Oryzias latipes: one gene and its partners. The protein of the gene in region 3 interacts with the protein of the main gene of each other region in a biochemical or structural test. Links are inferred from orthologs where the notes say so. Each region holds a gene or a part of one and is shown on either strand. Other genes may lie near its edges.

What was found.
Region 1: the proteins of rad51ap1 (region 3) and rad51 form a complex in vitro, tested with the Homo sapiens proteins (6 studies listed by BioGRID and IntAct). The link is inferred for Oryzias latipes from reciprocal best matches to the Homo sapiens genes RAD51AP1 and RAD51.
Region 2: the proteins of rad51ap1 (region 3) and dmc1 form a complex in vitro, tested with the Homo sapiens proteins (2 studies listed by BioGRID and IntAct). The link is inferred for Oryzias latipes from reciprocal best matches to the Homo sapiens genes RAD51AP1 and DMC1.

What each region holds. Positions count from the first base shown.
Region 1 is NC_019882.2:19,722,691-19,727,115, reverse strand, and holds the start of rad51 (DNA repair protein RAD51 homolog 1), read right to left. Parts: upstream 2,893-4,425; 5' UTR 2,822-2,892; intron 2,786-2,821; exon of another isoform or gene 2,701-2,785; intron 1,882-2,700; 5' UTR 1,838-1,881; coding exon 1,748-1,837; intron 1,673-1,747; coding exon 1,535-1,672; intron 1,465-1,534; coding exon 1,347-1,464; intron 1,275-1,346; coding exon 1,183-1,274; intron 1,107-1,182; coding exon 1,012-1,106; intron 941-1,011; coding exon 827-940; intron 112-826; coding exon 1-111. Other genes in the region: centromere-associated protein E, read right to left, coding at 3,837-3,916.
Region 2 is NC_019877.2:2,423,875-2,427,004, forward strand, and holds the end of dmc1 (meiotic recombination protein DMC1/LIM15 homolog), read left to right. Parts: intron 1-20; coding exon 21-73; intron 74-173; coding exon 174-215; intron 216-281; coding exon 282-354; intron 355-450; coding exon 451-542; intron 543-624; coding exon 625-698; intron 699-774; coding exon 775-889; intron 890-1,882; coding exon 1,883-1,943; intron 1,944-2,045; coding exon 2,046-2,162; intron 2,163-2,235; coding exon 2,236-2,305; 3' UTR 2,306-2,597; downstream 2,598-3,130. UniProt on the Homo sapiens protein: Participates in meiotic recombination, specifically in homologous strand assimilation, which is required for the resolution of meiotic double-strand breaks.
Region 3 is NC_019881.2:17,661,210-17,665,583, forward strand, and holds the start of rad51ap1 (RAD51-associated protein 1), read right to left. Parts: upstream 2,891-4,374; 5' UTR 2,578-2,890; coding exon 2,561-2,577; intron 2,454-2,560; coding exon 2,407-2,453; intron 1,986-2,406; coding exon 1,862-1,985; intron 1,120-1,861; coding exon 1,019-1,119; intron 930-1,018; coding exon 840-929; intron 724-839; coding exon 604-723; intron 523-603; coding exon 346-522; intron 278-345; coding exon 155-277; intron 65-154; coding exon 1-64. UniProt on the Homo sapiens protein: Structure-specific DNA-binding protein involved in DNA repair by promoting RAD51-mediated homologous recombination.

The DNA of each region.
Region 1 (4,425 bases), on a different chromosome or scaffold from region 3:
AGCATGCGCAGGAACCGGCCCAGGTGCCCCTGCCGGGCCGACAGCTCTCCTCGACCCGAGTAGTCGGTTCTGTACAGAGCAGTGGCGCTATCCACGATCAGCAGGGCATACCTGAGACACAAACGCACCATCTAAAGTAATCTAAAGCTGATGTTCTGATGCTTTTTTTACAATACAGATGAACTGACAACTTTTTTTTTAACAGCAGTTCCATTTGTCAACCTCCTTCGGTAGAATATTACATTTGGCTGCATGTGTGGGTTTTCTCTGCGGCTTCCTCACAAAGTCCACCAAATATGATGACCAGTGAGGCACCTGAAAAGTCCTCGCTGTCTGTGCACTAACAGAGCCACCAGCAGGGGGCAGTTCTGTCTGAGGTTTATCCTGATGGATCTCATCAGTTATCAACATTAAGAACATCTGACTCCTCCATCCACCTCCATGCTGATGACATAATCCTCTATTTCATTGCCGCCCCCTCCTGACATACTGTTTCCCTCAATAACATGTCAATAAACATATATATATATTTAAATGTATTGATTTTTTATCTCTCATTCTTCAAATGAACCTATTTGCTGCATTGTAAAAGAAGGATAAACATTCAACTAGAGGCAACCAGTTATGCTAGTTTGGCCAAAATCAGCATATTCATGATAAAAAGATTACTGGGAATGATTTGAAAATAGATTTTAAAAAAAGATGATCGGACTTTAAAGCTCAAACACTTGGGTATGTGACCTTTGACTGAATGTGTTCGGAAACCTGCAAACTGTCTGATCTCAGGAAGTGGACTGGAGGACAGCAGAAGGTGTGAAGGACTCACCTGGACTCTGCCATCATGGCTGAAGCTTGGTACAGCAGTTGGGTCTGATGGTCGGTGTTGAAGGCGCGGGCGTACGCCACGTTGTCCAGGACGTCACTGCCCACCAGACCGTACCTGAAGAGCCCAGAGTTTTAACATTTTCTCAAAGTAAGATGAGGAGTTTGACGCTCACGGTGGAAACTCGCCTCTCTGCCACAGCGAGGAGCCTCTCTGGTCTGAAGGTCCCCTCTGTGTCGATGTACATCGCTTTCCCTTCTCCTCCCCCTTGATCGATGGGCAGCTGCAAACAGAACAGAGGACTGAAAGCTTCACGTGATCAGACAGATGGAAGTTTGGCCATTCCGCGCTGATCTTACCTGACACGTGACAGCGAGGGTGTGGCACAGCTGCGTCTTCCCCGTGCGAAACTCCCCAAACATCTCTGTGATGGAGCCTGTCTCAATACCACCTGAACTCAGGAAGGAAAAGGTCAACATTCTTCAAATCCTCAGGGATGGTGAAGGAGCTCCAGCAAACTCACCCTGCAGGAGTTTGTCCAGCTCTTTGGATCCTGTGGAGATCTGGATGATCTCCGACCTTCTCTGGTGGAACTCTGTGGCTGTAGTGAAACCCATCGGTACTAGCTTGGCAGCTTCAGTCTGAGAGAGATAACAGAACCGTTAGGTAGGAGCAGCAGAATCCCTGAAGCCAGAAGCTGCTGTTCCTCACTAGGATCTTGTCGGCTTTGGCCTCGCTGATGCCTTTGATGTTGAGCAGCTCCTTCTTGGGAGCGTACGCCACGGCCTCAATGGTGTGGAAGCCTGCGTCCTCCAGTTTCTTGATGTCGCTGGAGCTGATTCCACACTGCTGCAAGCAGAAACCAAAATGTTTAAGACAACAAAGCTTCTGCAAAAGACACAATAGAACTATCAGGGTTCAAACCTCCAGTCTGCTAAGAGGCTGCGGCCCAAAGTTCTCCTCCTCCTCCACCGCCACTTCTGCCTCCACCCGAGCCTCGCTCCTCATGGCCATGACTCTTGAATGAAAAGCTGAATTCTCCTCAGGCAGGGTCCTCACTGCACAGAGTCAAAAAGGAGTGTCAGAGCAGCAAACACCACGATACAAAACAAAACAGGACAGAAAGTTTAAGGAGGTCTAATGCTTTCATTTAACTAAATCCTACTGATTTAATACTAGTTTTTCTTCAAAACATAAAAGACTTGAGGATATTTTCTTAAACTAAAATAGGAGCGTTTTAAACGACCCAAAACACCTAAGCACAGAATAAGAATATTAACAGTAACTTAAAACTTAAACACGTGAAACATGATTTCCCAGCATGCAATTATCCATCAATCCTCTTTAGAGGTTTTTAAGCAATATACTGAATACTAACGAATTTTTATTAGTCAAATAATTTTAAATATATACGTTTAAATTACTTTTCTTTCCTCTACATAATTCAGGGAATAAAGTGGCATTATCAAACCAATTTGCAGCCTGTTATGCAGCAGGGATTTGTAGTTCTTAGTTGTAGTTGATAAAATAAAATGTTAACTGCAGCGTCTCAGCAGGTGTTCAAAGCTTTTTTTAATCCGCATTTTATAATAAATGATTAGAAGAGACAAATGTTTTCTAAAGTTAACATTGCCTGTTGAAGTTACACCCCGTTGTTCAAATTCAAAAACTTTATTGATAAGTTGACGTAACACTTATGGGGAAACCAGTGTTTAACCAAACGACTACAAACTGACTCCTATAAATCAAAGTTTTCCAATAACAACAGCAGCTGTTCATATTTTCAAAAGGCTTATTTGTATCTTTCAAAGCATTTTTTGGCTAAATTGAAGTCGCCCGCTAACTTAGCTTTAGCGCTAATTTGCGTAATTTCGTACAAAAAGTTTGATCTTCCGTAAAGCTGCTCTGGGTTTAAGAGCAAAGAGCCAAGTGTCATGGTTCGAACCCCCTAGAAGCAGTGACATTTTTCTACTAAAGACCACGGTTTCGATGAAATACCTGCTGCTTTGTTCTGTTTGCTGATCCTACAAACAAAACTCCCGCGCACGAGATTCCTGTCGAACGCGATGACGTCACATGTGTTCCCATGCCTTGACAAAACAGGAAACCGGAAAAGGAACATTTTTTTTATCAAGTAAAAAATAAAGAACTAAACATTTTCGGTTTTAGCTTCGTAAATGGATATTAGTTTGAAATTGTTTTCCACAAAAACATAAAATATGTATACTTAAATCTTAAAAAAAGAGGCTTGCTCATAATGTGAAAAGCTACAAAGAACAGGGATCCGTTAAAAATCCAAAATTTCTCATTAGGAAGATCTGTTTAAACGCATTTTCCCCTCAATTTCATGTTTATAAGTAATGTCTTTACCAAATAAAATGTCTGTCAGACACGTTTTTGTGATTATTTTAACAAAAAAAGTCTTCAAAAGTGGTATTTAGATTCATTTATTCATCCGTGACTAATAAGGTTTTCAGTAAACATTGAAATAAACCTTTATTTTGATAGAGCAAAGATTTCACTGAATTGTAAAAGCACTTTCAGGCATCATTGGCATCTTGTTTAAATTTGAAGCCTTTATTTTACTTTCAATAGGAAAATAAAATCCCCACCATAAAAGGATTTAAACATGACCTCCGCATGCTTAAATATGCGTTTGATTTTAAACTAGTTCCTCAAAAACAAACATCCAAGTCATGGGCCAATAAATGCAAATTCAAATTTAAAACAGCTGTGACCTACTAATTTGACATTTTTCGTACATAACTGCAACAAAATTCAAGTGAATTTTTTTTTTCCAACCAAGCGTAACCTTAAAACAATAAAAGAATAAACCTCACATTTCATTTTCCATTTATTACAATTATAACAAAATTGCACATGAAGTGTTTTCAACTCAGAGGAGAATCACTCTTATACTGAAATACAAAAAAGTCAGACTAAAACACAGGATTTATTTTTTGGCTTTAAAAGAAAAGTGAAATATTCATTTTTAAAAGGATTCTTTTAATGTTCATTGGGTTTTGCAGAAATCTTCTTTTTTGGGAGACTGTGGCCACCACGGGTCTGTCCCACTGGCTCCAGCTGCAGCATCTGAAAAATAAAAGATTTAAAAACATTTTTTCTGTGCTTTAATCATCAACATGACAGAATCCTTTACCCTGGATTTAAAGAAAAAGACTGGGGTTAGAACAAATGCACACAGATAAATATATATTTAAAAAGTAAATAAGAAGAAAAAACCTGAATTTGTTAACAGAATTTACTGTCTTTACTAAAATGAATCTGCTCAGCTTTATGTTTTTTCAGACTTCAGAACAGATCAAAGGTTAGTTTGCATCTTCAGAAAACTTTTCAGTAACCGTTAAAAACATTAGTAAGCAGGAAAATTCCAGAAGTAGCTTTTGAATCAACAACTTCACGGTGACTCAAGAAACCTCTGGATCTTTTCACAAATTAAGAGCCTGCTTTTAAAGAAAGGAGAGAGTCAAGGGTCCTCCCAGAATTAAACAGCTGTCCACAGATATGCCTGCCTATTAATCTGCTGAAACGCCTTCCTCTGGAATGGAAAGACTCCCATTTCCACGGAGCACCTTCACAAT
Region 2 (3,130 bases), on a different chromosome or scaffold from region 3:
GTGTTATGTTCCCTCTGCAGTAAACTTTTGGGTGGAGGCGTTGAGAGCATGGCTATTACAGAAGCTTTCGGAGGTGAGGAGACCCCCGCCTTTCTGTTTATTAATCCAAAAGTTTCCCAACAGATTATTACATGTTTAATCTATAAAAAATGAATATTGTCTTTGTTTGTCAGAGTTCCGCACAGGAAAAACCCAGCTGTCTCACACGCTTTGTGGTGAGTAAAACAGTTTCAAGCATCTTTTTTTGCACATGACATGAACATTTCTGTTTCTGCGTGAAGTCACTGCACAGCTGCCAGGGGAGAACGGCTACTCCGGAGGAAAAGTCATCTTCATCGACACAGAGAACACGTTGTATCCTTACGGCTAAAGCAACTTTATGCATGAAGTGACGCTGGTCCTGAACTCCTATCTGTGTTTTGGTGATGTTCTTGACCTGCCGTGTTTCAGTCGCCCAGACAGGCTGAGAGACATCGCCGACAGGTTCAACGTGGACCACGGTGCGGTTCTGGACAACGTGCTTTATGCTCGAGCTTATACCAGTGCGCCAGCCACACCATGGAATCAACGCACGTTCTTATGATGCAAATGAACGCTGGTCCCCGTGACGCTGTTTCTCCGCAGGCGAACACCAGATGGAGCTGCTGGACTTTGTAGCCGCCAAGTTTCATGAAGAGGGAGGCGTGTTCAAGCTGCTGGTGAGGAGACCTTCACTCCTGGACCTCCGCCGTGACCCCTGCGATCGGGGCAGAGGCTGACTCTGCTCTCCTTCAGATTATTGACTCCATCATGGCGCTGTTCAGAGTGGACTTCTCTGGCCGGGGGGAGCTGGCCGAGCGGCAGCAGAAACTGGCCCAGATGCTGTCCCGGCTGCAGAAAATCTCTGAGGGTGAGAAGCAGATCTGCGTTTGCTGAAGTGTCTCAGGGGTTAAGAGCACAGAAACGTTTTCAGTTGTTCATGAAGCTCCTTATGGTGAAGAAACGACACGGGGAGGAGCCAAACCTCAAACCGTAAAGGCACGCGAAGAATGAACAGAAATACGGAGCCCTCCAGGTGACCGTGGTTAAAAAGAAAAGAAATTCGGATAAGCGTGCGCACGCAAAGCCGACTACACTGACAAGAATTTGATATTAAGTCACCAAAAGGTTCAGAACTTCCTGGTTTTTGAAACCTATCCGGAAATAAGGCTTCACAAAATGCTCCACATCTTTTATCTTCAAACAAAGGGCCAATAAACAGACAACTTTGGTGGTTTTTCGTATTAATTTATGACTTTTTTGTTTCTTAAATTCACAAGGTTTTTTCTAGTAAAGGTATGAGATTTATTCTTGTAAATTTATAAGAATGTTTTTCGCGTAAATTTGCTAGTTTTTTCTAGTAAATCTATTAGATTTTTTACTCATAAATGTATGAGTTTTTTTCTACTAAATTTACAAGATCTTTTCTTGTAAATTTATATGATTTTCTTCTCTTGTAAATTTATGACTTAAAATCTTGTAATAAAAATTATAATAATTGTAAACTGGCCCTAAAACTCTGTTGTACTAATGAGATAGGGGTCACAGAAATGCAAAGATGGGTTAAAGTCCTGTCCTTTAACCCTTGTGCTATCCTAGGCACTTTAACATTGGGAGTTGGGTCATCTAGACCCACTAGACAGTGCTCTGAACCTTTTTTCTTCAATGATTTGTGATCTTCACTGGTGTCACTGGATTACATGAAATCTTTCCACCTTTATCCACCTTTGTCATGGTAGGGAGAACACATCAATGGAAGGGTGGGGTCATCTAAGATAGCACAAGGGTTAAAATCCTGTAGAAAAGCAAGATGATCAAGAGGAGAAAGTGTTCAGGCAGAGTAAGCAGCTGTTTGTGTTTCTAGAGTACAACGTGGCTGTGTTTGTTACCAACCAGATGACGGCAGATCCTGGAGCAGGGATGACGTAAGGATCACAAAAACCCTCATTCATCAGAAAAGGATGTTTGTTTGTTTTTTCATTTCTGACTCAGAAATGTGCTTTTATGTATCCCCCCCCCTGTTTTAGATTTCAAGCTGATCCCAAGAAGCCCATCGGGGGGCACATCCTGGCCCACGCCTCCACCACCCGCATCAGCCTGAGGAAAGGAAGAGGAGAGATGAGAATCGCTAAAATATTCGACAGGTTGTAAGCCTTTGATATTGATAATCATCACAGCTCCTAAATGAACCGGACTTACTGGACCGTTTGTCTGCAGCCCCGTCATGCCTGAAAACGAGGCGACCTTTGCCATTTCTGCTGGAGGAGTGACTGACGCCAAAGAGTGACGAAAAACGGAGGACAGACGTGTTCACGGCCGCCTGTTGGCTTACAGCTGCGGTATCGTTTCTGTTTAGTATTTATATGACAGCTTGTTGTGTTCCAGATGCACTGAATTCAACAAAAAAAGTAATTTATTGAAGTTCAATTGGGCAGAATGTCTGGTTTATTTCAAAATAAGTCACAAAAGATCGGATTGAAAAGTGAAGTTTTCCTTTCCTTAACTTATGTTACACTGGAAATAGTCATTTCTCCCTGTTTATTGATAGAAATATGAATAAATCATTTCAGCAAAAATCTACTTCTTGTGCAAATGCAATACTTTTCAGAACCAATAGAGTTTAGTAAATTAATTTGGACCTAAGCACAGAATAGGAAAAGAAAGCAAACTCATCACCAGGTTAAGTCTACAACCACAGCTGTAGATTTGTTGACCTTTGACCTCAGGAAGAGGCCGCCATCTGGAATTTTCATAAGAAATCACCTTCTACAAACTCCTTCTATGGATTAGAATCTATTACCTCCTAATTCCCCAAGCATCATTGGGACGCTGGGGCGAAAATAAATGTTGGGGAAAGAAAAGGTTTATAGGTTTTGAATGACGTTACCGTGGCGACCTCGCAAGAATGGCGTTCCTTTCTTGCTCTCACATTTTCTATCAGAATGTTATGAAAATGTAATACACGAATCTCTGCGTCGAGCCGATTTGAAACGATATAACACACGATATGAATGTATCCAAAATGTGGGCGTGGTTAACAAAAAACTTCTGTTGCCAAGGAAACCTAAAAATTTACTTTTGCCGATTCTTCCAAAAATTACACCGGCTTGTT
Region 3 (4,374 bases):
AGCCCCTGGCTGGGTGACTTCACCGGTGGACTGTGTGATGATGAGGCGCTTTTACCAATCTGAGCTGGAATATAGTATTAATATAAATATTAGCCTTCAATCTGATTACAGCAGTTTAAATAACAGAAAGAGTAAGTGCATTGATAAGCTGTACCTGGTGGGTTCCACTTGGGTACTTTCCCCGCTGCTGGGCTCAGAGAGGATGCAGGCTTTGTGGAAGGAGGTCTGGTGGGTGTCGGTTTGGACGTTGGAGGACTTTTCACCGGTTTGGAAGCAGCTAAAATGTTTTAAAAGGCTTAGTAACAAAAATCAAGAGGATGGAAAACGTCAGCCGTTGAAACAAACCTGCTGCTTCAGGCTTCGTCTTTGACGGTTGTTTGACTTTTTTAGAAGTGGGAGCTGGTTTGATTCTGTCTTTTGGGGAGACTTTGTCCTTCTTTTGGGTCTTTGTGGGTTTCTTGACTGTAAATTCTTCATCCTCACTCTCAGATGGCTCACTGAAATCTTCATCACTTTCTGGATCTGGAAAAGCAAAGAGCTGTTACACTTATGAAAACCAAGAGAACAGTTTTTTATGGAGCTTTGGAAGAAAAAAGTGCTAACCGGGTGTAAGTTTGGGTTGATAGTCGTCATCGTCATCTTTGCATTTTTTCACTTCAGCTGTTTTAGAAGAAGTCTTCTTTGAGGCGGATGATCTGATCTCTGACGAGATTGCGTCTAAGCCTGGGACCCACAAACGACAATAAAAACACAAAAAAATGAGTAAACTGAAAGAAAATGTCGATTAGACGAAGAAAAACATATTGATCGGGGATTTGGGAGGGGAGAACAATACTTACCCAAAACTGCTCCATCCACACTGCAGTTAGAAAAGCGCAAAGTAGTCGGATCCGTATTTTCATCCATGGGGATTTGAATCTTTCCATCTGCTGGAGAAATTTTTTTTTTTCCAGAAAGAATTTGTTACCACTCTCAGAGAAAAACAAATCAACTCAGCATTTTTCAAGACAAAACAAACCTTTAGGAGATGACTCCTTCAGCCCATCTGTGTTGTTGAGCAAGGACAGTGTGATGGCTGCCTCAAGGTCTCTGTCATAAAGTTTTTCATCCAGTGGTTTTCTGAGAATATTAAGTGTTAATTGGTTAAAAACTAAATTAGTTAAAATAATTTTTAACTTCTCAGGTGCCAAACCATTTTGTTGCTGCTCAGGGATAGGTACGGGATCATAGAGGGCCAGGGGCTCAAAGTCAGAAAAGGGCAGCAAAAAAACACATTTTTTTGTTGTTTAAACTATATGGAAATTAAGCAAAAAAAAAAAGTACTAATAGATGAATATTCAGCTATGTGACCTGTATGGGTAAAAGTGATACAATTGTCATCTTTTATTAAAATAAATTATTGTCAACATGACTTTATCGTAGACTTGAAAGACATCCAAGACAATAAAACACTGAGGGCTATTTATTTTGCCATTGTGCTGCAGACATAGTTGAAAAACAGATTGTAATACACAGATATACCATAACTTTCATCCCAAAATTCCCAGCGTATTTTTTTACACAACAAATGAAATATTTACACAACTGCATTTTATCATTTTCTCCTGATTCACAACAATTTAGATAAAGAAATACTTAGAAATGAAATTTTAAGCTTACTTTTCTTCATATTTGTCCTCCATCATCAGAAAAATGCCACAAGAACATGTAAAAAACACCAAAAAGTCCTTTTTCATCTGAGTGGGTCTTTAGGACTAATGTTTACTCAAGAGGTGGAGATAACTTGAGAGGCTCACAATAATCCAAAGATCCATAAGTGACAATAAAATCCCCCAAAACATCTAAATGTCCAACGGTGTACCTGATCTTTTCTTTCTGTGACGACTCAGAGACAACTTCCTGACTTGAAGACTTTCTCTGTTGTTGTTTCACTTCTTCCTTGGCTTTTTTGTGAGGTGGAGCCTTCACGGAGGCAAAATCTTCATCTGACACAACAAAGAAACAGGCTAATCAAAAGGGGTTACCTGGTAAACGCTGTAAAACTAAATGCAACTTTGGGTAATTAAAGTTGAATCGGTATAAAGGAGTAGGCTTTAAGCGTCTGGGTCCTTTATGTCTATCGTTCTCTAGTTCTTCCAAATACAGAATCTTTTGAATAACTATAGTATAGTTATCAGCGAATGCAGACATGTATCTTTAGTTTTTATAATGTTTGGACTAACTAAACCAAACATGGAAGGTGTTTTCACACAGAAGAGAAGCTAAGTTTGAAGTTAAGTCTTAAAACTTAAATTAAGAGAAAGACGTAGAGTAGCAACACAATTGTTGTTGTGAATCATTGAACATATGATATTAGACAAAAAATTTGAAAATAAAAGTTGGATGAACAAAACACAAATAACTCACCATCCTCAAAATCCTTGGCTTCACTATAATTCACAACCTTTGTCTTTCTGTAACAAATAAGCAAACGTAGAGAAATAACTTAAGAGCGTCTTTTCTATTCACATTTGACAAGTAATTAAAAAACGATAAACTAATGAAAATGTTTCTTGCTCACCTCGACGGCCGGTCCATCCCTTTATAGGATTTTTGACAAATTATACCCTTAGTTTATCCAACGATCAATAAGGACATTAACGGCGATTTAGCCGCTATTTTACCCTTCGATCACATGAAGCTTAAGCTAGCCGGTAATTTTGCAGCAAAGCTGATTTAAATCAAAAGCCTAACACCTAACGTACTGAGGAAAAAACTTTACTTCACTTCCTCATACGTTGATACATTAATGTATACTAGTTTTGTATAGCGACAATAAAATAAGCGACTTCTGGTTTTAAGCAGCCCGCCTGAACTGACCAGAAGTGACGTCACGCTGTGTTGATTAATTTGACGGTAGCGGAAGTTGATGAAAAAAGCGGAAGTTGATTCGAGTTTATTTTTTTTACGTTTTAGTTTAGTTGTTTTTAATAAAATACCACTAGTAAAAATGTTTTATTTAAATTTTTTTAGTAAACCCATTGTAAATAAATTAAAGAAAGAAAAAAATGCACAACATTGTTTTTATTTTGAGTGAAAAATGTATCGTATCTACTGTTTATGAAAGTAGATTAGTTTTCTTAATTTATGCCAGCAGTACAGATAATACATATATAAAAAATTAATAATTTATAGATGTAATTTCACCATAAAGCACCATATTTTCTCAATTTCTTAACGATATATTTTTATACATAAAATCAATATCACACTCTTCTAACAGGAATGGTTACAAATATTCAAAAATATTGATTGTTTTCAAATTTAAAACAATCAGTATTTGTGAATCTTTATATGTATTTATTTAAATAAAGCCCCTCACTGTTTGATCTTGTTAATGTATTTCACATTGTGTATTTGTTCTCCTGTTGTATACTCTTCAATAAAATTGAAAAAGAAAATTGCATTATTCTTTTAAGTCAACTTAAAAAAATTTGGGGAGGATTTTACAGAATTAGTGACATTAGGTGACAAAATTAAGGCTTTAAAATCATGAGCATAATTACTAAACAAGTGTGTCATAATGAACTAACATTAAATGGAATGTAATTCCTGTAAACACAATAAAATGATGTATATTTGCAGTATTTGAATAGGAAAAAAAATATTTTTATTTGTTATATTGATTTTTAAAATGGTTGCATACAATTGAAATGTGTGTTGTATACTATAATTGTATTTAATTGTATTTGAGGTGTATAATTCTTTTATATTTTTTATTTCCTTAAATATTTTTGCACATTTTAAATTTTCCTTTCTTTGCTCCCTTATGCCTGATCCCCAGAGTTGTAACAATTTAATTTCTTCACAGCAGGATGTAAAAAAAGTTTATTGTATCTTATTTTTTAATATAGATGAGAATATTTTCTGGGTAGCTTTGATTACATATAATAAAAAAGACTGTTGTTGGTGCTAAACGGACAGCTGTTTGTCAAGGGGTAAAGAATCCAACCATCCAACAGGTGGCAGTATAAACTAGATGATTCAGGACTTCTGATGTTCCAGTTCCTGGGTCTGATTGACACTAAATTGACACGTCCTCAACTGCCCAGTCGCCCACACACATGGGAAGAAGCAATCACAGTTCTGAAGAGAGGTCAAAACGAAACCTCCCCAGATTTGACTGTGGTTCTTCGAGAGAGCAGCCACTGTATCGAGGGTTGTCATTTTCCAGCTTGTGAGTGGGTGGTTGTCCGCTGTGGTTTGTCACACAGTGGCCCTGGAGCAGATGCTCAGGGCTGTGAAAGGCCATGTTTTTAGGCCCAGAGAGGGAAGGAAGACATGCAGCCGTGGGGCCAAAAGGTCCTGTGGTTGCACATTCCTAAACTCCTCCAG